2 linked regions of the Bombyx mori genome follow. The main gene of each other region encodes a partner of the protein of the gene in region 2 in a complex. Links are inferred from orthologs where the notes say so. Each region holds a gene or a part of one and is shown on either strand. Other genes may lie near its edges. The genes, in order: dynein molecular motor protein light chain 1 and cytoplasmic dynein 1 intermediate chain.

Region 1 (13,298 bases), on a different chromosome or scaffold from region 2:
AAGGCATGAAATATATTTTTTCTATATTACGAAATTGAATGGAAAAAATATAATATTAAAATTAAAGTATTTGGCAACATTGGAGGCAGCTGGTGCAAAAACTAGATCAAGGTGGTCACGACCCTCAGTAATGAGGAAGCGACGAAGAAGAGAAGAGAGATTTGGCAGAAATGTGTAATTATACTTAATCAATGTAATTTTTTATTTACTTGTTTTTATATAAAAGCATATGACTTTTTTAAGACAAGCAAGTTATTAGCTGTCAAATGGTGCAAATGTGTTTTACATAATTAATAGCTTAGCTATGAAGATTAAGATCCACTTAAGACCTTTGAATACCTTGATACCAGGTAGTCCATGAGATCTCCTGAGTAGTTAGGTAGAGAATTACAAAAGTAAAAGCCTAGAAGGATCTTAAACAATAATCAAATGCCTTGTATTTACTAAAATGTTTCAGGTTAATAAAAATTTATTGGGACTCTAGTTTATCCTAAAATTCACTAGGTAAGCAATAAGATTGTTCTAATATTATTTTAAAGGAAAATATGATGCATTTTCTGATAATACAAAATAATCTATTAGCATTGGCATTCAAGTTATGATGTCTATGGACTGATAAGCACTGGTTACCATGTTTATAAATATTTTTGCTAAAACAACCATCGTTTTCAAAATTAAGTATGTCAATTATAAATAAATATCTTGAGAAATTTTGAAATACTAAGTATATCTAATGTGTATTATTATGTGTAATGTGAACAGGTATACTCCAACACTTTCTATACATTTTTCTATTAAAATTTTACTTAAATCATATCGACGCTTGAAAGGCAAACGTGACTTAGCGACAATAACTGCTTTGTACATAAATGATAGGCAATAACCATATTCGATGCGCAAAAAATATATATTTCTAGGTCTATTAAAATCATTTCAATCCTACTAGCTAGATTCTACTACAGCTAGATTCGTGAAAATAAAATTTGTTATCAGGTATTTCAACTTTAAATTAGTCTACTGTAAAGTTCATGCATTGTCGCTTAGTCACGTTTGCCTTTCAAGCGTCAATATTATTAATAAAAAAACTATGATTTCAAATTTGAATATTCTCCATTAGTCTGTATTTGTTTTTAGAGAAAATTGATATACTCATTCTTTTCTGAGCAGTTTTTCCAGATTTCATATAACAAAAGAGGATGACTCTCGTTTTCTACATTATCAAATTTCTGATTATAAGTTTTTTTTTTATTGCTTAGATGTGTGGACGAGCTCACAGCCCACCTGGTGTTAAGTGGATACTGGAGCCCCTAGACATTTACAACATAAATGCGCCACCTAGCTTGAGATATAAGTTCTATGGTTTCAATATAGTGACAATGGCTGCCCAGCCCTTCAAACCAAAATGCATTACTGCTTCACGGCAGAACTGGGCGGGGTGATGGTACCCGTCTGTGTGGACTCACATGAGGTCCTACCTCCATTGACACCATTGAAATTGAAGGTAAATTGTGCTAGCTAGTTTAAGACAATATTTAAGTCACAGCAAATAGATGAAAAGGAAGTTTTCAGTACATTCGACTAAGGTCTGAGTTGAATTACTGGATTTTTTTTTGTTTATCACTAAAGACAACTGTTATTGAAGACAAATCTTGTAATCTCAATGTGCATATTATGTAAATTTCAAAATCAATCAAATTTTTTATTTAATATCATTTAGAACATTAGACTAACTTATTATTGAGTGATGAAGGTTTTAGTTTTATTTCATTATTTTCATAGAAATTACACAATACCAAAAAACAATAATACTCTTCTAAGATGCTTTAAGAAAATGCTTTAGATTAAAGTACTTTTAAGCTTTAGAATTCTTAAGGTTAGTTTTATTTTTAGAATTTATTTATTTTAGATTAAACTACTACTGTTTTTTGAGCTAATAAAATTAATTATAAAACCAATTTAGAAATATTGTAATTAAAATTATTGACACCTGTATATGCAATGATTAGGTAAATACACAAGTTACAAAAGTCGTGTACTCACCTAGGCAAGATCAATATCCACACAAGAGAATTTTATTCTAGATGTACTCTAGTATTCAAGTAGCCTGTGATTGAATACATAACATTGACGTTTGCGGACGGCCGCTTAGAGTAATCAGCTGATAATAATACTGATAGATTACTAAAATGAGACTTGTAACGTGTTTATTAAATTTACACTTCACAGTATCACCGCATGATTATCAACTACAATTTAAAATGATACAAAATTAATTCACCTTGTGTTTGATGAACGATGTTTACGTACCACTGAGCATACCCGCGGGGGTGCTTCTCCTAAATAATGACGTGCCGCAACCCATCTACCACGACTGCGCCGTGCGGTGCACAAAATCGAATACTATTACCAAACTATTACTTATTCATTGTTGCATGTTTATTGTCATGTAAGGCCTACATGCGCAGACAACGTATTTACAATGCGAACACTTCACCGAGTACTCACCGTGGCTTGCAATTGCTCTGTACACGATGCACACCGTAAACAACCAAACTGCATATTAAAACAAAATGGAAGACCGTAATCGCTCGCGTCGAGATGAGAAATTTTGTAAGCGCTTAGCGCTCCCGACTTCCCGAGTAGTAAAACGTCTCTACTATCCTATCGTAGTATTTTAGCAGCTCCCCCTCCAATCTATTACCCGCCGTCACCAGATTAGATGGTACACAATCACAACACAATATGTTTCACTGTTCACAATATGGACTAAGAATGAGCACGAATTTACAAATAATATAACGATTTACACGAAATCAATGTTCTTTTGAGAATAATAAAATTCATTGAAGCATTTGACGTGCCGAGACACAACACCCACATCAAAAAAATTTACATGGCGACTGGTCTGAAGTGGCCTGCCTGGCCCAGCTTTCAATAATTTCCAATCAAACATATTGCTACTTCACTCAAACACTACAATTTTTTACATGAGTAAGAGAGACAGCAATATAAAAACATTTCCTTTTATGAATAGAATCGGAATTGTGAAGTTGCCCTCTCCACGCCACTCCACGGAGCTCGCAAAGTTGAGTTGAATGGACCCGAGAAGCGTTCAACCATTGGATCGATGATGGTCACGTGATACAAATATGCCAAGGAGCTTTAGCGGGAACGTTTGAAAAAATTCATGATTTAAGTAAAATTTTATCTCCGGGAACATACCCACAAAAAATCTATTACGTAATGTTAATTACACTAGATATGATTCACTAGATCTAGACTACACTATGTAGTTGTGAATATTGTGGAACCCGTCATTTAAATTACTTTGTATTGAGATTCTGGAAAGCCGGTTTTGCTGCTCATCGTTAAATAAACGAAGTCATCATTTGATGATCACCTTCGATCGGTAATTTTATTTCTTCATGATTTTTTCATGATACCTTTCCTACGTTTTGTTTGGTTTACAATGCTCAATCTACACAAATAGTAAGTTACTATGCTCTGCATACAATGCAGTATTATTAACTGTTTTTCTGATAATTATTGTAAAATTTTATACAATTGTATTTTGTCAGTTCATTGAACATTGTCTTGCCACTTTTCGAACAGAACGATGGAGGATCTTGAATAGGGACCACGTTTTTATTTCAATTCAGTATTTAGGAACGGTGAACAGTACTTGTAAAATATTTAGGGCATAAAAAAGTTTAGTTTTCTTCCATGAGATCAGGCCTTGTTCATTGGTATAAAATAGTGCAAGAAAGCACTGATGAGTATATATTTCAATCAGCCGGTTTTTTTTGCTACGAAACGCTATATAGGTACCTTTCATTTAATTTGTAAGAAGACAGGAGGTACAGGTAACCCAGATATCGCAAGGTAGGTATTTTACGGAAAAAAAAATCCCCAATACCCAATATTATATAATGAGACTTCTATTTAAAATTATTTAGAAAATTACAGTAAGCTTATTTTTTATGTATAATAGATTAAAATATATATACAGGTATAGAATGTTTTATTTAGAAAAATCCTCTCCTTTTTGTAGTCATCTTATCTTAAATAACACGAGTTTTGCATAACATCGGAGTTTGTAGGAACGTATCTACCGTGGGTTTCTGATGGGTTACCAATGTTAGGTAAACGTTCCATAATAATATGTTAAATGTAACGGCACTGTTCTAAAGTAGGTAGGTACCTACTCGTGTCAACAAAAATTTTAAGACCTCAATTTTATTACAAAGTGAGCAACTGTGGGTCGTCAACTCGTTCACTCATTTATGCAATAAAAGTAAAAAAAAAGAAGCTGATAGTGTTTTATATTCATTCAGCAATATAAAAAAATTCAGATCAACGTTTTCTTTATGGAATCACGCATGATACTGGTTTCTTTATAATCGCTCAATGGGCCTTCTCAGAAAGCTCCTGTAATCAAACACACCTCAATATAACCAATACTCCTCATGTTCGGCACCTAAACATCTCGAAGTGAAATCTCTTTTCCTGATAAATGTATGTGACAATGTTGTGCCCTAACAGAAGCCTTTTATTAGATAATCTGAGATTTTTCTAGTAAAATTAACAGCCTCAAAATATATTTCGTAAGAGACCACCATGCTCCAATTTCCCTCTTACACAATTTGTACTTTTGAATAGAATTTTCAGTATTTATATTCAGTGGAATGCAAAACAAGACTACATCCAAGAAAACGCATACAAATTATATACATCAAATCGAAGATTCAATGAAACCAGTTTTTACTTTCTTAGGTTTTGTTGTTTAGGTACAAAGTTCTTTGTTCTCCCAAAGTTTTTGTCCATAAATGAACAAACTTATCTGTTTATTAACACTTTATTTCTCTATGCATATATACTGGAAAATGACATAGCATACTTTTCCATTTAGTGTAAAATAAAAGCTTTATTTATTAATTGAAACATAAGAGTTCATAATAAAACATACAGATTTGATAATTATGTTATCAGTATACTAAAAATTTGCTTTATTAGTATTATAAAAGAGATTTTAAGCCAGTAAATGAATATAATAAATCCATGTTATATGCCAAGCCCAAAGACTGAGACAATGCAGTACATAGTTTTATTCTCCCAACGGACCGTGCATGAGCCATCAGTAGTGTTATCCCAATAACAAGAAGAACTTGTATGCAGTCCTGCACCATTCTTCTGCAGTATTGTGCAGGTCACTGTAAAAAACAAGCAAATATTGGATAAAAGTAAATTTACACATTTTAGCTTTTCTTCATTAGAGGTTTAACTTTTATCTTATAAAATAGAAAATTCATTTATTCAAATTACCAATATATTTGTGTATTGGTAATTCTCTAAATTTTTAATGCCTTTGTGGGCAAACAATCACACGGCCCACATGATAGTGAACAATATCACTGATAGACATCAGCAATGCCAGGGGCACAGCCATCCATTCTACCTGGAATCGCAGCATCATCCACAGTGCGTTTCCAGCTCTTTATGGCCACGTACTATCCAGCTTTGAATGAGCTCCTCTTCAAACGAATCTTGTGGAGAATACTTAATGATAAGCAGCGACTTGGCTCTGCCCCTAGCATTGCTAAAATCGACGGGCTACGGTAACCACTCGCCATTAGGTGGGTCGTATGATCATCTGCCTACAAGGGCAATAAAAAAAAAAGAATTGTGCTTTATAAGCTTTTGTGGAGATTTGAAGTTCAATTAGCTCCTTATAGATGCTCAACATTTTAGAAGCCAGTCTTCCAAATTACTCCAAATAGTGTAAATACTTTTAGTGTTTATTGTACATACAATTAATACTATACAATAATTGCGAAAAGTTATAAAATGGCGAGCCTAACTAAACAATTGATTTATCTACCAGCTAACCGTTCTTAAAGAGGGAGAGCTTTACATAAGTGGGTAGAAGAGTACAATCTAATCAATTTACTTATTGATACAATACACAATAACAACAATAATATAAAAAAACTAATATATAATATATCAGACTATATACATACACAATTACACACATAAATAACATATACATATTTCATTATACACATACATATATAATGAAATATGTATAACTAATACTAAATCGACAAATAGTGCTCCTTTAAGGCATTAATATTACAATTTTGTAATTATGTATTTCAATTTGAATTATTAAATGCTGTACAAAATACTGGAAAATTCTAAATAACAGTTTGTTCAATTATAGCATAAAAGATGCAAGTATACTGCTCCACTCTCCTTAAGCTATTACTTTATTAATGATGTAATAAGTCTCTCTCTTCCTGATGGTCAGATTAGCTATCACAATAAAAGCAAGCATTAATTCCAGTGTGATAGCTCCAAAAGTCATGCAAATGAGTCTTGCAAACTCCATAATTCAAGGTTCATTTGCAATAAAAAAATACAATTTTAAACATTGTTTTTTATTTTTGCTAAGAGAGCTTATACAAGGGACCCTAAAATAAATGATTTTTTATTTTATGCATGCTGTGTTACTTAAAATAATCTAGATTCTCAACGCACGTACCTACATATTTGTATGGTTTTTGTAACTTAGTCAACTGCCCCAGACATGACTCAACAACTGCTGAAGTCCATTGGTTGACATTGTTGTGTTGATAAGCAGTGCCTCCAATTGAATTTTCTATAGCTTCTTTAATTATTTTACTCACGTCGTCGACAATGAATTGGTTCTGAAATACACCATGTTGGTAAGTTTGTTGAATCAATATTTACCAACTAATACACACAAATGACTATTATTACTTCTTCGTCCAAATCGTTGCATTCTTTGACTTCCATTATTTTGTTTCAAGATAGGTAGTAAGTATTGAACGTTATCAAAATGAAATTTCTGTTTGAATTTCGAAACCAAAGAAGTTCGACAAACTAAACAATTTGGCCATCGGCATAGATAATACCATAAATATTTTTTTTGTTAATACCATAGATAGTCGTAGTAGTAGTTTTATTTTTCCAAATGGAAAGACAAAAGTATTACACCATACTGCCTAATCTTTTATATATATATTTTTTATGAAATATGATATTATGAAATGAAATGAAGCTGATTAATTTAATATGAAACATGGCATGGCATGAAATAAATAAAAATATAAATGAAATGAGATTATATTATATGGGATACTTTAATGAAACATGTTAATATGGAGTGAAATAAAATGAAGAATTTGAGACATTAATCAACTGGGATGCAATTAAATGAAATGAGATGAGATGATATGGGATGAAATATAATCTCATTAAAATGGTGGTCGTTTACTGAGATTTTTTCAGTGGACTTTTTGGAGGATCCCGAGAAGTTACGTCCAACGGCTTTGTTTCATTTTCCCACATTTGTGCACTTTCACAAATACTAAACAGTTAATAAACCACCATTATTACACATTTAAGCCTGAAGAAACACTAAATAGACAAAATAAAACAAATCGCACAACTTGACACCTCGCTTTCCCGCCAAAAAGTCCATATAATAATACACATAAGTTAATAGATAGGTACTTGGCACTATGGTCAAGATTTTTTTTTTTATGATTGAAGGATTACTGGTGGCCCGGAGGCCTTTCCAGTTTCACCAGGACTGGTCAAGATCTAGTGGTGCTCGGTTTATAGCCAATATCCATCATCAATGCCAATTATTCGACTATTATGTATCAGTGTATTTCATCGTGATTCTTTCATAATGAGTTTTGAAGTAAAAAACCTTAAAACCATATCGCTAAAATAGTTATACGCTATTTTTGATGTGTACAAAAACCCGTTACATTTTTTCTTATAACTTTATTTTGAGAACAAAATCTAAAACTTCCTGAAATATTCAAAAACATTCACGTACGGCGTAAAATAATACACGCAAATAAATTTACAGAAATTAAATATAATATAATAATACTTACCTTTTTAAGAATTATTAAATAGTAAAAATCGCTTTAATAGGAGAAACCTTTAATGAATAAGGTCTTAATAAGCTAAAATTAACAGTAAAATTTATTTTAGTTACATTAGATACATTGACAAAAACACTAAAAAACGATAATAAAACAGATTGACAATGACATCAACTTATGACTGATAGTTTCAAGTAAGAACTGGTAAGAACAAGTAAGAAGTATATATTACATTTTAATACGTCATGCGTCATATATGCTATAAAATTACGATCTACTACCTACATGCTGCATTACAATAAAATCTATCCTGGATTTGGTATTAAGAACCAGTGCCGCCATCTCTTATAAATCTGAATATGGAATCGCAAATTATTGAATTAGTTTGCAGGAAAAAGTAGTGGATAAGAAATGTGCTTTAAAATTTGACGGTAACAGAGATATTTTTTTCAAGCTGGGGTATGATTCTCCTACAAGTTTCCTGCGTCAGCGGGTGCACAGGATATGTAGGACTCTGTTGGCGAAGATCTTAAAGGCTAAACTAACACTAAAACACTCAGCCTATCGTCACCATCACGTAGGAAAAAGTAGTGCGAATTCCTGACCCCAAACAATTCAGAGTTATTTGATGTGAAAATATAACAAAGAAATACTCTCACATTAATAACACTAATATGGATGGACTCACAAGAGGTCCTCCACTAGTAAGGTGGTAGGACCTCTTGTGAGTCCGCGCGGGTAGATACCACCACCCTGCCTATTTCTGCCGTGAAGCAGTAATGGTTTTTGGTTTGAAGGGTAAGGCAGCCGTTGCAATGGCATCCCAATTAACTTATATTTTTATATTCTATGCAAAGATTAAATTGACGTTTTACAAAATGGAAATGTCACTCAGTCAACCGTCAGTGTCGTCACTTTTTATTGTCTCTTTTTTAGGTGAACATGGATTATTTTCAATTTGATTTATTAATGTAATCGAAATGGCTTCATCAGTACAGAATAGTAGGATTTCATCACCTGGTTATTGTGCCTGTTGTCGAACGTGCAACATGTGGTGTTGGAAAGGATTCAAATGGCTTCCAGTGTCATTCATAGTGTCTATAATAACTTGGTCATACTATGCCTACGTTATTCAACTCTGTATTTGTAAGTGTTTAAGACTATTACCAACTTTACACTTAATTAATAGTAAATCATTAGACTTAATTATATTACAGTTACAATACAAAGCACAGTCCAACAATGGATTTATTTGGTGCTGTACCACATACTCCTAATAATGTTCGTCTGGTCTTACTGGAAAACAATTTTTGCAGAGATAGAACCAATCCCTGAAAAAGTAAGTATTCTTTATTAATGGAAATTTCCAAACATTATCGCATATACAAAATTTTCATTCTGTTTAGTTGAAATTATGGTAAAAAAAAATATTTAGCCTCAAGTGCAAGTCGTCCTCATGATTGAATGTTTATTTAACACAATCATATGAAATAAGCTTCTATACTTACACATTAAATGAAAGATCTTAAGTACGTATTTGGTATGCATAAACAATTTCCTCAGTTCTTCCACACTGATGTAGTAGATGTAGTATGCACTGATGATGCCACAGAGGACAAGTGCAGATATACAAACTAGATTACAATTACAAATTATAATTACAATTATAAACCAAGATTCACATACCAAACCATGTAAAAAAACGAATCTGAGTCATCAAATATATGAACAAATAAATTAAGATAATACTTGTTTGTGAAAGAAATTAATACCTAAAGTTAAACAAAATAAATATCATTTTCATGTAATAAATTTTAGTACAAGCTGCCTGAAGCAGAACTAGAGAAAATGTTGAGTGCAGAATCTGAAGATTCACAAAGAACAATTCTTGAAAACTTTGCTAAGGATTTGCCAATTGTTACAAGGTAATTCATTGTTTTAGTCTGGCTGATTGTTACTCAGTTTATTTAACCCACGCATAAACCATTAAACTACTGTAAACCATAATTAGGATGTTAACCTCTCACATCTGAAAGTTAAACTGAACGTAAGCCTGATTGGTTTAGGTTGATAAATAACTTTATCTGCAGATACATTTGGCAATTTTATATATAAACAAGGCATTGTGTGGTCAGTAGTATGGTACTAATAGGGGACTTTATCCCTTCCATCTATTGAACTATGGAAAATAGTTAGAAATTGATTAATTTAACCATAATTATTATACATACATGTAAAGAAAAACCTTTATGATTTACCTTAAAAACTTAAAAACTATATAGTTTAAAAAAAAAACTTAGACAGAATCACTCATTGTCTGTCATTCAGTGAAGAGGGTAGTTCAGTTTTGCATAGTATAAAAAAACTGTTTAAAATATTAATTTTAAAAGAGATTAAGGGCTTATGTTGTTTTAGTTTGAATTTTAAAGGCAATTACATCTTGTGTTGTTAATTCATTCTGGAGTATTGTATATTATAATGATGTTAAAGTTAAGGAAGCATTTTGCGTTGAATTATATAGATTAGCCCAGAATGAATATATTTAATTAAGCAAAGGAACCCAGTGTGTCTCTGTATTGTTGAAAAGCAATAAAAATAGTGAAGGAATACTTAAGAAATTATAACCTTAAGTACATACTCATTCTTAGAATTATTTTTATCTGACCTTTTATCCAATGAGCATGTGGCTTTGACTGCGTATCTAGATATCTGTGACTATGAGTACAAAGCTGTGGTCAGAAAACTGGTAAAAAAAACAACAATATAAACTATCTCACCATTTTCAAAATGATTTCAATATTTTTGTTGTATATTTATTTGGACATAAACAGTAATTCCTTATTACAAAATTAATACTATATTTTATAATTTTGGACTATGTCCGACTAAGTTGTCGACTGCTGGACATAGGCTTCTCCCAATCCACACCAATGAGCCCGGTCTTCCGTTCTCCTCATCGACCTCTTGCTGGCCACCGTTTGGAGGTTATTGCACCAACTAGCTAGGGTCTGAAATGGCTGGTTGTACTAAGGCCTTCTGCCACTTTCAGTTTTCTGTTTTATATAGTATTCAAAATAGATCTGATGTGAAGCAGTGTACAGAAGATAATCAATGGTGAGGTTTAATATTTGTATTTGTCAGGCGAATTTTGCAAAGCACACTGAATGAAAATAATAACAACACATGGTTATATACAAAAACGAATTAACAAAAATACTGGCCACTGGGCCCAAGAGTCAGGTGATATGACGTAGGCCTCATACGATGTGGAGCTGCATTGAGTGTGTGAGTACTTGCCTACTCCCTACAAGGGCATCATCAAGTTTTAAGTTACTCTGAAACGGTGACATTGGATAGTTGAAGCTTGTGAGACACAGTTTTTAACTATATTTTGCCATTTCTTTTACTAGACCTTCTGTTATAGGATTACTTTAGATTATTGCCCTTACATAAACACAAGAGAGATTTTTTGGAAGAATTTATTTTTATTTTCAATTAGCAAATTGAATGTTACAAAAACTTATAAATAAACTTTCTGATTTTGAGATTTCACACAAGAAAATATTAATAATAATTTATTATCAAAAACGATAAATTAATCTTTGATTGTCTGTGATAATATATTAAATGAAACTCAAAACCACAATATTTAAGGTCAACAGTGTGAGTCATTTAAACTATAGTATTTGAAATAAGACAATTTATTTAGCATTAAGAAATATATTTAACACTACATAGCTACATGTATTGCAATTCAATGTACATATGTACGCATTGCCGAACCTCCTTCGAGGTCTCTGCGCCTAGGGGACGCGCGGAGTATGTGGGTCTGGTCCGCGTTTGCAAACCGCGGTCCCAAGAATGCTTTAGGACCCTACCTACCAAACGACTCCCCTGCGCTCTTCGTCCAAGCGTCCAATCCCCTCCGAGGTCAGAACCCGGATGAGATAAAGTAGTTACCGTGGTCAACACTACATCCTCACTCACCCCAAGGACGCCCGGCCGACGGAGCCTTCGAGGCGAATCGAAGGTTCTGAAAAACGTCTGCCGTCTCGGTAGTACGAATTGCCACTAACATACGCTTTTTAAAAAATATATGCGTTGAACTATTTCACGTTCTACCTGATGTAAAGCTGTAACCGGACCCATAGTGAACGACTGAGAGAGATGACGGCCGAGGTCTTAGTTTTATTCTATAACAGCTCTCCGGGCCTTCGCGGCTTGAAGGCACGATATAAGCAGGATGGTGGTGCAAATTTTACAATACAGCGCATACAGCAAGTATTACCGATCGTAGTATCCTGCAATAATACTCTGCTGCTCTTTCTCCATTGTGAATCCCTTACTTGACTTTTACGACACTATACTGAGACCTTAGAACTTATATCTCAAGGTGTGTGGCGCATCTACGTTGTAGATGTCTATGGGTTCCAGTAACCACTTAACACCAGGTGGGCTGTGAGCTCGTCCACACATCTAGGCAATAAAACGAAATTACAAAAACACGGGATTAGGTTATGCCATTCTAAGCCAACATCGCACATCCATTAAAACATCTGTCTCTCAATTCTAGATTGACAATGACGATAAGGAAATTCAGCAAGCGTCTATTTAAAGCGGAAAGCAAAAAAACTATCTTAGAAACATTTGCTAATACTCTACCAGTTTTAACGAGGTCTGATATTCATCAAAATTCTGTAGATCTAGAATTGAGATGTATATTTTATTTAGTCACATTGTAAGTTTGATATTCTGGTAACTAGTATTGGAATCTCGAGTTGAATTATCTTTTTTTTTGTTTATTTTAGCGATAAATATGTATAAAATAATGGAAACATGGGAGTCTAGTTGTAATGGCAGTATTTAAACAATGTTCTAACACAATAATTAATTACTAATTTTTATTAAAGACTAGCTGACCCGGCAGACTTCGTATTACCTCAATCTATAAATAAAAGACCTAAAGTTTTGTATAAAATAAACTTAAAACAAACAAAAGGAATCCGTCCGACGGGAGACACATCAAAGGAATTTGATGAAAACAAAATTGTTATTTTTATTTAATTCCGAGCATTTTCATATTTATCTACCTTTTAAACCTTCTCTGGACTTCCACAAATAATTCATGACCAAAATTAGCCAAATCGGTCCAGCCGTTCTCGAGTGTTAGCGAGACTAACGAACAGTAATTCATTTTTATATATAGAGATTAAAGGTAGCTGTAATGTTTTTTAAAAGCTGTAATGCTAATTTTTGGTACAAACACCTTCCGCTCCAAATACTTGTTCGAAAAGTGCACCACCGCCTCATGGAACGCTTTCTATCAGGGTTCAACAGAAACCCTCCTCTTCGATATCACGATACCTATATGTA
Region 2 (13,079 bases):
CGCGCTTCATTCAGGTGTTGCCTCGATCTCACCTCCAACATCCTACCTCTCCCAATCCTACTCTCCGGAAATATAATTTATGAAGTCTAAAAAAAAGAAAAGGGTTTTACAGGCGGTTCCCCATTCCACATTTAATGTGGATTTCAGCAATGTCAGGGGCCTTCATAGCAACCTTGACGCCGTACACCACCACCTTGAGACGGCGCAGCCTGCCCTGCTTTTTTTAACGGAGACGCAGATATCTGCTCCGGACGATACCTCATACCTTGAATACCCCGGCTACGTATTGGAGCACAACTTCCTACGTAAAGCCGGGGTGTGCGTATTCGTCCGGGCGGATGTCTGTTGTCGCCGTCTTCGGGGCCTCGAACAACGGGACCTGTCCCTCTTGTGGCTGCGCGTGGATCACGGGGGCTGTATCCGAATCTACGCGTGCCTGTACAGGTCCCACAGCAGTGATGCAGGTTCAGCTCTGTTTGAGCATGTGCAAGAGGGGACTAACCGCGTGCTTGAGCAGTACCCATCTGCGGAGGTAGTGGTTCTTGGAGACTTTAACGCTCACCACCAAGAATGATTGGGGTCCAGAACCACTGACCTCCCGGGTCGGACTGCCTACGATTTCGCCTTGGCCTACGGCTTCTCCCAGCTGGTGACACAGCCCACCCGTGTCCCAGATATCGAGGGGCACGAACCTTCTTTGTTGGACCTTCTGCTGACCACGGATCCGGCCGGATACAGTGTGGTGGTCGACGCTCCGCTTGGATCGTCTGATCACTGCCTTATTCGTGCTGCCGTACCACTCTCTCGTCCTGGTCGTCGAACGACAACCGGGTATCGTAGAGTTTGGCGGTATATGTCAGCAGATTGGGATGGATTGCGTGAATTTTACGCATCCTACCCATGGGGGCGGTTCTGCTTTTCCTCTGCTGATCCTGACGTCTGTGCGGACCGTCTTAAAGACGTGGTGCTCCGGGGGATGGAATTGTTTATTCCCTCCTCTGAAGTGCCCGTTGGGGGTCGCAGCAGACCCTGGTATAACAATGCCAGTAGGGATGCTGCACACCTCAAGCGGTCCGCATACGTGGCATGGGATAATGCCAGGAGACGTCGGGATCCTAACAACTCAGGGGAAAGGCGGAAATATAACGCCGCTTCCAGGTCCTACAAGAAGGTAATTGCCAAGGCGAAGGCGGAGCACGTTGCTAGAGTTGGCGAGCGATTAAAGAGCTATCCCTCCGGGAGCCGTGCTTTTTGGTCGCTCGCCAAAGCTGCAGAAGGAAACTTTTGTAGGTCTAGTCTCCCACCACTGCGCAAGTCCGATGACACTCTGGCCCACAGCGCGAAAGAGAAGGCTGACCTTCTGGTCAAACTCTTCGCCTCGAACTCGACTGTGGACGACGGGGGTGCCACACCACCGAACATCCCCCGGTGTGATAGCTCCCTGCCGGATATCTGCTTCACACAGTGTGCAGTTAGGCGGGAGCTCCGACTCCTGGACGTCCATAAGTCGAGTGGGCCAGACGGCATCCCCGCAGTGGTTCTGAAAACGTGCGCCCCTGAGCTGACACCTGCGCTAACGCGTTTGTATCGCCTCTCTTATTGCGCTAACAGGGTTCCGTCTTCATGGAAGACCGCCCACGTCCACCCTATCCCCAAGAAGGGTGACCGGTCGGACCCGTCGAGCTATAGGCCTATCGCGATAACTTCCTTGCTTTCCAAGGTGATGGAGCGAATAATAAATACACAACTCCTGAAGTATCTTGAGGATCGCCAGCTGATCAGTGACCGACAGTACGGTTTCCGTCACGGTCGCTCAGCTGGCGATCTTCTTGTATACCTTACTCACAGGTGGGCTGAAGCCTTGGAGAGCAAGGGCGAGGCTCTTGCTGTGAGCCTTGATATCGCGAAGGCCTTCGACAGGGTCTGGCATAGGGCACTTCTATCGAAGCTACCATCTTACGGAATCCCCGAGGGACTCTGCAAGTGGATCGCTAGCTTTTTGGATGGGCGGAGCATCACGGTCGTTGTAGACGGTGACTGCTCTGATACCATGACCATTAACGCTGGCGTTCCACAAGGTTCGGTGCTCTCCCCCACGCTTTTCATCCTGTATATCAATGACATGCTGTCTATTGATGGCATGCATTGCTATGCGGATGACGGCACGGGGGATGCGCGATATATCGGCCATCAGAGTCTCTCTCGGAGCGCGGTGCAAGAGAGACGATCAAAACTTGTGTCTGAAGTGGAGAACTCTCTGGGGCGAGTCTCCGAATGGGGTGAATTGAACTTGGTTCAATTCAACCCGATAAAGACACAAGTTTGCGCGTTCACTGCGAAGAAGGACCCTTTTGTCATGGCGCCGCAATTCCAAGGAGTATCCCTGCAACCTTCCGAGAGTATCGGGATACTTGGGGTCGACATTTCGAGCGATGTCCAGTTTCGGAGTCATTTGGAAGGCAAAGCCAAGTTGGCGTCCAAAATGCTGGGAGTCCTCAACAGAGCAAAGCGGTACTTCACGCCTGGACAAAGACTTTTGCTTTATAAAGCACAAGTCCGGCCTCGCGTGGAGTACTGCTCCCATCTTTGGGCCGGGGCTCCCAAATATCAGCTTCTTCCATTTGACTCCATACAGAAGAGGGCCGTTCGGATTGTCGATAATCCCATTCTCACGGATCGTTTGGAGCCTCTGGGTCTGCGGAGGGACTTCGGTTCCCTCTGTATTCTGTACCGTATGTTCCACGGGGAGTGCTCTGAGGAATTGTTCGAGATGATACCGGCATCTCGTTTTTACCATCGCACCGCCCGCCACCGGAGTAGAGTTCATCCATACTACCTGGAGCCACTGCGGTCATCCACAGTGCGTTTCCAGAGGTCTTTTTTGCCACGTACCATCCGGCTATGGAATGAGCTCCCCTCCACGGTGTTTCCCGAGCGCTATGACATGTCCTTCTTCAAACGAGGCTTGTGGAGAGTATTAAGCGGTAGGCAGCGGCTTGGCTCTGCCCCTGGCATTGCTGAAGTCCATGGGCGACGGTAACCACTCACCATCAGGTGGGCCGTATGCTCGTCTGCCTACAAGAGCAATAAAAAAAAAAAATAATAATAATATAATATCGCATAGTATATAGCTCATAGCACAACAATATCGCGCACCATACATTGTTATGGACACGTTCAAACTGTACTGTACTATATATTATTGGCTATGTATAGGCTGCTATACTATATGGTACTATAGTATAACGTAGTCTGAAAGCAGCTTAACGAAAATAATTAAATATGAATCCTCTTTAAAAATCCAATTTAGATGGGTACTAGTTTTTATTAAAATATTTTTTTTTTATTGCTTAGATGGGTGGACGAGCTCACAGCCCACATGGTCTTAAGTGGTTACTGGAGCCCATAGACATCTACAACGTAAATGCGCCACCCACCTTGAGATATAAGTTCTAAGGGTCTCATTATAGTTACAACGGCTGCCCCACTCTTCAACCGAAACGCATTACTGCTTCACGGCAGAAATAGGCAGGGTGGTGGTACCTACCCGCGCGGACTCACAAGAGGACCTACCACCAGTAATTACGCAAATTATAATTTTGCGGGTTTGATTTTTATTACACGATGTTATTCCTTCACCGTGGAAGTCAATCGTGAACATTTGTTGAGTACGTATTTCATTAGAAAAATTGGTACCCGCCTGAGATTCGAACACCGCTGCATCGCTCAACACGAATGCACCGGACGTCTTATAGCTTAGGCCACGACGACTTTGAAAATGATTGTTCTAAGTGGGCATAGGTGGGTAGTTTTATAGTCTATTTGGTATTTATTAGTTACCGGAGCCAATGAACACTGAAGCCTGAAAGCTGCCAAATACTTTGAATCATGGTAGAAGTTTACAAATTTACTACAGGCATAAAATTTGTATAAGGCATTCGCGCATGATACTGCACATTATATCGTGCAATGGTTTGCTCTCTGTTTAAAATAGACATAACAACACCTTATTGACATCCATGTTTCATTCGATTTTAAATTTATATTTTTTGATCGACTCTATTTGTATCTATCTAGAAACTTAAAAAAACACCATCAATAAATTAGCCTATTACGACATTATTCAGTGTTCAAAGACAACGGGACTAATTGCGCCGTAAACTGCTTTATCTAAGGTTCTTTCTCTATTTTAAACATTTTTCGTATGTCTTATTTTAGTGATATCTATCTACGTTTGCCACTAGGGGCACTAAACACACAGGTTATGAAGTTCCTCCTAAAGCCCTCATTCGCACGGGTATTTTAAAAACGTTGCGTTAAAACTCGGCGTTGGCGCTTTTATAACGTTCTCGATGTGACGTAATCTGTAACGCCCAACGATTAGCGCTCAAAATGAAACACTGCGCGATAAAAAAAAGCGTCGCATTTTAAAAGCGCTGATGTATGAACACATACTAGGAAATGCATCTGTTCTATTTGAACGCTTTTTTAAGGCGCGCTAAAAAAAACTCCCGTGCGAATGAGGCCTAAGGGTTGAGTAATGAGCGGAACTCACAGAGCGTTCTCTCCGTCGCCCCCGCCCGTGTAGTCGGTGTAGATGTCGACGGACTCGGCGAGCGCGCGTTCGATGACTCGTCCGGCGCGACTCATGAACCTCTGGAACTCGGCCGACAGCATTATCGTCTGCTTCTCGTCAGCGCTCAGCTCGCGCACCGCTGAGATGCCAATACGAGAGGAAAATTCAAAAACAAACCTAATGCTGTTTGGTTTAAGCGATATTTCGCTTAATACGCAATATTTATCTTTGCAATTAAAGGTCCGGTTTATGTGGTACTCCAATTAAGTTTACCGCATTCAAATAACTGAAGTATTTTTGTTATGATGTTTTTTCAAATTTTAAACTTTAAATGGATCTCGTGTAAAATTGCTAAAATGTCGCTTAAATCAAGTAGTCTTACACCCCTCGATATGCCTAGCAAACAGGGGTTTGAGCGGTATGAGCGGTTTTCAGACAACAAATAATAATGTATCAATGCAAATAATATGATACTGTCAACTATGTAATGCGTTGATCTTTAACATCATTTTCGTGAAACTGATACTAATATATACAGTTCATGAATATATTCTGTATCGGTTTTCGGTGATTGCCTTTTTCAATGCTTCTGCACAATTGATATACGTAATGATACGTATTTATCATAAGGCCGCGCGATACATTTGTCTTGCCCAGTCTTGCTTATTTGATCTTTGGCACATAGTTATAGGCAGCGGCTTGGCTCTGCTCCTGGCATTGCTAAAGTCCATGGGCTTCAGTAACCACTCACCATCAAGTGGGTCGTATGCTCGTCTGCCTACGAGGGCAATAAAAAAGCAAGATACACCAACCTTTCTTCTCTTTCTCTTCGTCTTTCTTCTCGACGGGCGCATCGGTGACTGCGGGTTGGACCTCCTTGACGGTGGGCAGGCCGTGCGGCAGTATCCCCGGGGGCAGTTTACCGTGGAAGGCGGCCTCCTCGTCGTCTCCTTGGCGCGCCACGTCGCCGTCGAATGTAAGCACTGGACGGTGAATAAGAATGGCCCTCGACGAGCGTGTGGTGTGCGTGTGTGTTTAACATACAGCTTGATTTATTTTCTACGGAATTTTCTTATTAGAAAGATCCGCTTATACCAACAATAAAAATATTGACGCGAAATTGAGCACTAATAATAATAGGTAATCTGTGACTTTTGATAGTTGGCAAATTATCGTCATTGCACGGTCGTTTTAATTATCAAAAATAGTCGACTCGAATTTAGACGAAAAATACATATTATTTTTATGCAAGCTGTACGTTACGCGCGATAACTTCATGAAGGTTTGTTATAATTAGGTACATTAAAGTTTTTCAATTTGTTTAATTGTGACTTCATGAAATTACCTTTATGTTATAATGTGTAATACTGACATGACTAATGTGCATGATTATGTAACCTAGCTACAGGTGTCATGGCTACCGATGCTGATCTAATAGTGATGGCGTTTCAGTAACATATGAGCAAATGTATTTGACGTTTTTAATATTATATTCCTACGTTTTGTTTGAATTAAAAGCTTGTGTCGATTAGTAACTTTTTACGAAATGATCGACTAAGCCAGTTCTGGAATGAGAGGCTGGGCCACACTGCTCATGTGTTACCAAACATTTTAATGATAATTTTATAGGATGCATTGGAACCGTTCCCAATGTAGACAACCAGTGGTGATTCTAAATGCAGCGATCTTTTTTACCAGCACTTAGGGTGCGTTCAAGTTTTTGTAAGCAAAGCTTAAGAGGTGAGGTCTATTTTCTTATTTGTTTTGGGGGGTATATTATATTACTTAATTGTTACAAGGAGGACCAACAGCTTAAGTCTAACATAATAGAATAGAATAAAAACATATTGAAACAGCCAATTAAAGGTATAAAAAAATCCAAACGCTTTTTATTTCTTCTGAAAACAAAACTTTTCTCTTTTGTACATTACTATATATTATCTACCTAGTTTTATTACATTAACCGACATTCAAATTGGGGAATTCCGGTCTTAGCACGATGGTTTGTAACGAATATTTTTCGAATCAAGGTTCATGTTAATTTTTATGATGCTGTCAAAATTTCGAGCGATTTATTTATTTATTTTGTTAGTTCGTTTGATTACGTAATACTTGAAAGACCTGTTGTAGTAACACAATTGATATAGTTGTTGCAGAGTACGAGCGCGCGTGGCCTTTATTTGTAGTTGCAATCGTAAATACACATTTTCGTTAGTATGTGTACCCGATGGAGCGGTCAGCAGACAGCTTTAGCTACATATCCGGTCATCGTTCTCGCCGAACCCGTCGCTTGCAACGAAGGGCTCGACGAGTCAATTAACCCACAGACACAGCCCACTGAGTTTCTCGCCGGATCTTCTCAGTGGACCGCGTTTCCGATCCGGTGGTATATTCTGCGAAACGCTGCTCTTGCTAGGGCCAGTGTTAGCAACTCTGGTTTGAGCTCCGTGAGCTCACCTACACGTTAGGGTGAAGCTGAAATAGCTTCTCAAGGCTATCTGCATAAGTAGGAATAAAAAAATTGAGTCTGTGTCTGTAGGTTAATTCGCTCGTCGAGCCCTTCGTTGCAAGCGACGGGTTCGACGAGGACGGTGACTGGTGCTTGTGGTACCTAAAAGCACCGTTAATGGATCAGGAGGATCCGTAATGACGTGTTTTAGGCGACGTCGACTGTTTACCATTCGATCTGCAGGATCGAGCATGTAATTTCCAGGGGTCACGACAAGTGACCAGGTTCTCATGTCGTGTCGCCTTCTCCAAGTGCTGCCTCTCAAGGCTATCAGCATAGGTAGGAAAAAAAAGCTACATATAGCCTACATTCACGCGTATACAAATAGGTCACTCACACAACTAAGGCGGCGCGCAGTCGTACTTCGCAACAACTATACGCGGAATGAACTTTCCAGTGTGACGCAGAGCGTTCGTCAACTGCATTAACTTAGGATTGGCTGTTCGTAAACAAACTCTCTAAAACCACTAGTATCTATGCTAATACTTTTCACGTTTAGATAATATCTACAATTTAAAGTTTCAGCTTCGCGAACGGTTCCCTTACATCCAGCATGATATTGCAATGAAACAAAAGCGAATTGAAATCACTTTCGGAAAGAAAAAAATACAACACGAAAGCAGTTTCAATTCATCTTTTTAAGAAGAAAATGGTAATTGAAGCAACAAGTCAATTAAAGTTCATCTTATTTATAAATACTTTGCTGACATAACAAAAGCGTAGTCTATGATGGAAGATTTAACGTCATCATTTGTCTAAGTCCAAATTAGACATGTTCCAATTTTTCGAAAAGAAATCGAACTTTGTTCTCAGATTGGTCCGGTATCGACGCCCAACCTAAGTTATTAAAAGTGAGAGATTTTTTTTTTTCATAATTACTATGATTTTCGAAAATGTTATTCAAAATACATTACTTAATCAAATCAAAAAATATATTTTTTATTCAACATAAATGAAAGTACATACTTGTTGAACGTCAAAAGAACTACCGCCAATTCACAAGAACTAGCCTCCGTCCTGAGAAGAATTGGCAAGAAACTCAGCGGGCATGTCTTTTTTTTTAATATGTTTTTTTTTTATATTAGGTTTTTTTTAAATATGAAATTTTTACAATGAGTATTATAACGTAACAATTACTACAATATTGAAATGCCCGGAGCGAGCAACTCATTCCCACTTTGTGCAATCTTCTAGTGCAAAAATTATATCTCTGTTACATTTGTAATAGCATCAAAGTGTACAGCAAATATTAACAACTAACATTTACTCTTTCTTTACTTGTTTTCCCATTAAATATTGCGTATTAATTCGACAACAAATTAAATATCCCGAGACGCGTGCGGACAAATGACAACGTTTAAAATCAAATGGTCGAGAAGCGTACGGATTAATTTTCTAATAACTAAAGCGAGAACAGAGTTACAGCAATATGTGTAAATGAATCTAAAATATAAATTTGTTCAAAAATTTGCTCACGTTACGTAGTTGTACGTTTTTATTAGTCTCGTTGAGCGAACACCCTGAGTGTAATTTTGGTATGCTTGATCGTAAAAATAGCCTCCACTCAAATGCCCCTCGAAAGATTTCCTCACCGGAGTAGAGTAAACAAACCAAAAAACAGTAGATTTGAGGAATATTGTAATGGTCGACTAAAGATACCAAACTCGAGTATGGTTTGGATTTCTCGAGGCGTCCTCGGATGAGTTAGAGTGGAGGAAAATTTGAGGAATATCTAAAGATATGGGTGTAAGCGACATACGAATCATTTTGCACTGGCTGATTAGTAAATGGAGTTCCTGCAACCTACAGCCAAGAACTGTGAGCACTAGTGAACGACAATTCGCGTTACGTACTGATAGTACATAGATATGTTCGTTAGCATTCAGATTCAAATGTAGGTAACCCTCCTATAACACGCTAGATACGTTCCTACCAAGTCCCGTGTTGTGCGAAACCGTGTTATATGAAAATAGAAGCTAATACACATTTTTCAGAATGAAACATTTCCACTATGATGCCTGTATGTATATTTTTACCTATTATACATAAAAAATAAACAGTAAAATTTCGATTATTCAGTAATTTTCAAATTCAATTCTATCGAATGTCATTATCTAAATTATTTTAAACAAAAATCTTATTTTTTCCCCCACTTATTCGCTGGTACCCTAAGGGAGCTATTCCAGATACGCCCGGACGGGTAGGTGAGCTCACGGGCTCAACCTGAGAGAAATTGTTAACACTAAGCCTTAGCAAGAGCAGTGCTTCGCAGAATCTACAACCGGATCGAATCGCGACCCACTGAGAAGATCCGGCGAGAAACTCAGTGCGTTGTGTCCATGGGAAGATCATGATATTGTGTTGTTCAAGTACCGTGTTATATATAGAGGGTTTTTGAGAAATTTTGTTTTCATGTAACAGTGGAACCGTGTTGTAAAATACCGCGTTATATGAGGATTACCTGTACTGCAATGGAATCAGAAGGATATTCTGAAATCAATCTTTTAATGTAGCGTGGTGAGTGTAAGGGAACCAATTGTGAAAAAGAAGATTTTAAGGCAATGCTGTCGGTCCTGGTGAGATCTAATAAGCCGAAATCGAAGAATTGAATAAATAACGATCATTAACTCAGGCAGAGCCAGTGATGAGCACCCAGTGTCCCATCCCCCAAGTTTATTGGAGGCTATAGACATTACTACGAGAATACGGTCACTCACTTTGAGACACCAAGTTGAAGGTTTAATTATATTGTATAATACCCGTCTCATAATCCCAACTAAAACTCATGGCTGGTTAATGGCAGATATTGACGGAACGATACCTACCTCTGCGTGCTCACATTACGACCTAGCACCATCACAGTTGTAAGAATTTCAGTTAGTGTTACCAGATATTTCTGAGTTTATTATTTTAATAAATCAGGTACTCTCAAGCAAAATGAACCATAATTTATAGGGTTTTTAATGTGATGATACCCAAGCTGCACCATGCACGAACATTGAACGTACCAACCGTTACAGCCTGGCCACGGGACATTCGCCGATGCGAATATTCGCGCGGTGCGAACGGCGAAGCGTCTAGCGACTAAAACAAGCGCATAGAAATGTACCTAACAAGCCACGCGCACCGGCGACCGGCGAAGCGACCGGCGAAATGTACCGAGCGAATCGCGCGATGCGGCGGGCGAGCAAAACAAATGCATGAATACGGACGGCGCGAGCCACGGAGTCGAGCGGTAGTCGCGGCGAATAGTGCAGTGATTAAATGAGTTTAGTTGTTTTCGCCGCGAAAAATTAACGCCGAAATTTTTATATTTTTTATTTATTTTTTATTTTATATTTTTAAAGTCGTCGTGGCCTAACGGACGTCCGGTGCAATCGTGTTGAGCGATGCACCGGTGTTCGAATATCAGGCGGGTACCAATTTTTGTAATGAAATACGTACTCAACAACACTCAACGTTCACGATTGATTTCCACGGTGAAGGAATAACATCGTGTGATAAAAATGAAATCTTCAAAATAATAATTTGCGTAATTACTGGTGGTAGGACCTCTTGTGAGTCTACACGGGTGGGTACTACCACCCTGCCTATTTCTGCCGTGAAGTAGTAATGCGTTTCGGTTTGAAGGGTGAGGCAGCCATTATAACTATACTTGAGACCTTAGAACTTATATCTCAAGGTGGGTGGCGCATTTACGTTGTGGATGTCTATGGGCTCCAGTAACCACTTAACACAAGGTGGGCTGTGAGCTCGTCCACCCATCTAAGCAATAAAAAAATAAAATAGCTGAAATACTAGCTAGACCAGCTATTTGGAAGTCTAGCCACCCAAAGTATTTCTCGTACTTCTTGTGGAATTCTCCATCTATAGGTATACTCCGATTCTTATTCAAATCATGTACTTCACAATCTTTTCCAAATAATAGGTCCTGAACCAAAAAACTATTAATTTGTAAGCAATATCGAGATAATTTCGATATAGACATTTCGCTGTCGGACTTCCTTACTAGTCGCGGCGGCGAACGTGAGTACCCGTGGCCTGCAAACGGTGCTGCGCGAATGGTCGCCTCGCCCACCGCTTCGCTGTTCGCACCGCCGATCCCCGTGGCCAGGCCGTTAAACTCATATTTTATATCTTCTTTTTATCGTGAGCATGAATGTAAGAAAAATATACCATATTACTGTAACAATATTCTCTGTGGATGCATTCAGTTTTCAAGGATATTTCACTGAATATGACACATATTGATTACCACGATTTTATCTTTAGTTATTACTATTATTAATAATGTGGACCGGCTTGATTGGTTAGTACTAACCAACTAAACCCCGTTCAGATATCAAGATCGAATCGTGACAATCGTTATTCTGTGATTTGATGGCGACCCAACATCATTTTCTTTTGAAACTGATAGCATTTTAAAGTATTTGACTACGATCAATCATATTTATTATATTATCCAATTGAAACGACTAAGCGCAGCTCACACATCTTTAATAGAAGCGTTAAGTACGACGGTGACAGAAAGCGTTTGTAAAAATAAAAAGGGAAATATAATGCCAAAATTAAAAAACTTCCCGAGCTCTCCACAAGAGAGATAAGTCTCACAGTTGAAAAAAAAAAACAAAGATACATAATATAATATATTTAGCTGTATGTTGGTGACTTAGGTTCATGCATATTTGTATTGTTTCTGTCACATGCAAATGTTTTTATTTATGTTACGTGCAGATAGTCTATGTTTTAATAATTTTTTTAATTACTCATCACCGAGCTGGCAAGTTTGTTTCATATACAGGCTGATGATTTTACGTAACTTCGGAGGTTTTTTTTTAGATTGTATATTTCACAAAATTGACTGAAAAATTTATGTGCTTAGTTAACGAATGTATAGTTAGCGTTCGATAATAAATAGCTGTTAAATACGTACAGTAATAGTGAGTAAGAAAAACAACACAAGGAAAACCATGCAGTGTAGTAAGTAGGCACAGGCTCTAATAAGGATATAAATATTATATTTTTAGTTTTGAATGAATGTTTGTATGATTCGGATTTGGAACCTACCTGTGAACTCGTCCTCCCACTCTAAACCCGGGTTTAGATTGTACTCGTCTTGAAAAGGGGAGGAAAAACAAAAAAAACAATGTCAGTATATTTTGACCATTTTATATATATAAAAAAATTGTAATAATAATATTATTTGTATTAAAATTTTATACATAGCAAGAGTGCTTATATATTTTACAGCATGACCTATATTTTTGGAATTCGCAGCGACAAACTTAACAAAATTAAAATCGAAAACTCGAAAACTGTTCTCTAAATATATAATAATAAGTTCTAGTTTGGCGCTACGAGAGTCCGTTGGTGAAGACCTGTGCAGTGTTTGTTAATCGAATCGAAAGGGTAAGTCAGCGTGAAATGATATGGCAACCCATACTACCACCATAGTCAACATACAAATATGATTATTTCATATTTAATTCGTTATGCGGCCATTATAATTATAATTAAACAATATCGTTTTGTACCACGTGGAGAACTCTGGAAGGCCACAGTAATAATGCATGGGCATTTCAACATGACACGATGACGCTTCTAATCATCACATCACCCCCCGGAAATCAGATTGCTTGATAAAGCGTGAATCAAATGATAGAGTTTATCAAGTTACCTGCAGCGCATCTATACAATGTGTTAGTATGAAAATAAACCAGAGGTGTGACAGGAAGAACCGAATATTTACAAGTAATAGGATATTAATGTTGTAATGTAAATAAAAAACCGACACCCGAGTTAATGAATTCGTATGTGAGATGTTGGTTAGGAGAGATTACGAGTTTCAAGCGTCCTGGAGGAATAATAACTTACCGTAATAATCGGTTGCGTGCGCTAGAAGGGGAACAAAATAAACATATATGCCGTCAGTTAAATGCTTTCTGCAAAATCTGTTTCATTAAAAATATCGGTTAACTTCTATACAGTAAAATG

The links.
Region 1: the proteins of cytoplasmic dynein 1 intermediate chain (region 2) and dynein molecular motor protein light chain 1 are in contact, whole or in part, in a crystal structure (PDB 3FM7), measured with the Drosophila melanogaster proteins. The link is inferred for Bombyx mori from reciprocal best matches to the Drosophila melanogaster genes sw and Dlc90F. Residues at the interface, in NP_477075.2 of Drosophila melanogaster: Asn109, Leu110, Ser111, Val112, Tyr113, Asn114, Val115, Gln116, Ala117, Thr118, Asn119, Ile120, Pro121, Pro122, Lys123, Glu124; in NP_477356.1 of Drosophila melanogaster: Gly72, Ala73, Gly74, Leu75, His76, Thr77, Ala78, Ser79, Ser80, Cys81, Tyr82, Trp83, Asn84, Asn85, Ser90, Cys91, Thr92, Arg94, Tyr101, Ile103, Phe107.

The regions. Positions count from the first base shown.
Region 1 is NC_085113.1:8,148,369-8,161,666, reverse strand, and holds dynein molecular motor protein light chain 1, read right to left. Parts: upstream 6,921-13,298; 5' UTR 6,820-6,920; coding exon 6,784-6,819; intron 6,711-6,783; coding exon 6,545-6,710; intron 5,211-6,544; coding exon 5,062-5,210; 3' UTR 4,842-5,061; downstream 1-4,841. Other genes in the region: palmitoyltransferase ZDHHC2, read left to right, coding at 8,906-9,071, 9,143-9,264, 9,744-9,850. UniProt on the Drosophila melanogaster protein: Acts as one of several non-catalytic accessory components of the cytoplasmic dynein complex that are thought to be involved in linking dynein to cargos and to adapter proteins that regulate dynein function.
Region 2 is NC_085115.1:15,807,749-15,820,827, forward strand, and holds part of cytoplasmic dynein 1 intermediate chain, read right to left. Parts: intron 12,981-13,079; coding exon 12,960-12,980; intron 12,201-12,959; coding exon 12,153-12,200; intron 5,560-12,152; coding exon 5,389-5,559; intron 4,716-5,388; coding exon 4,556-4,715; intron 1-4,555. UniProt on the Drosophila melanogaster protein: Acts as one of several non-catalytic accessory components of the cytoplasmic dynein 1 complex that are thought to be involved in linking dynein to cargos and to adapter proteins that regulate dynein function.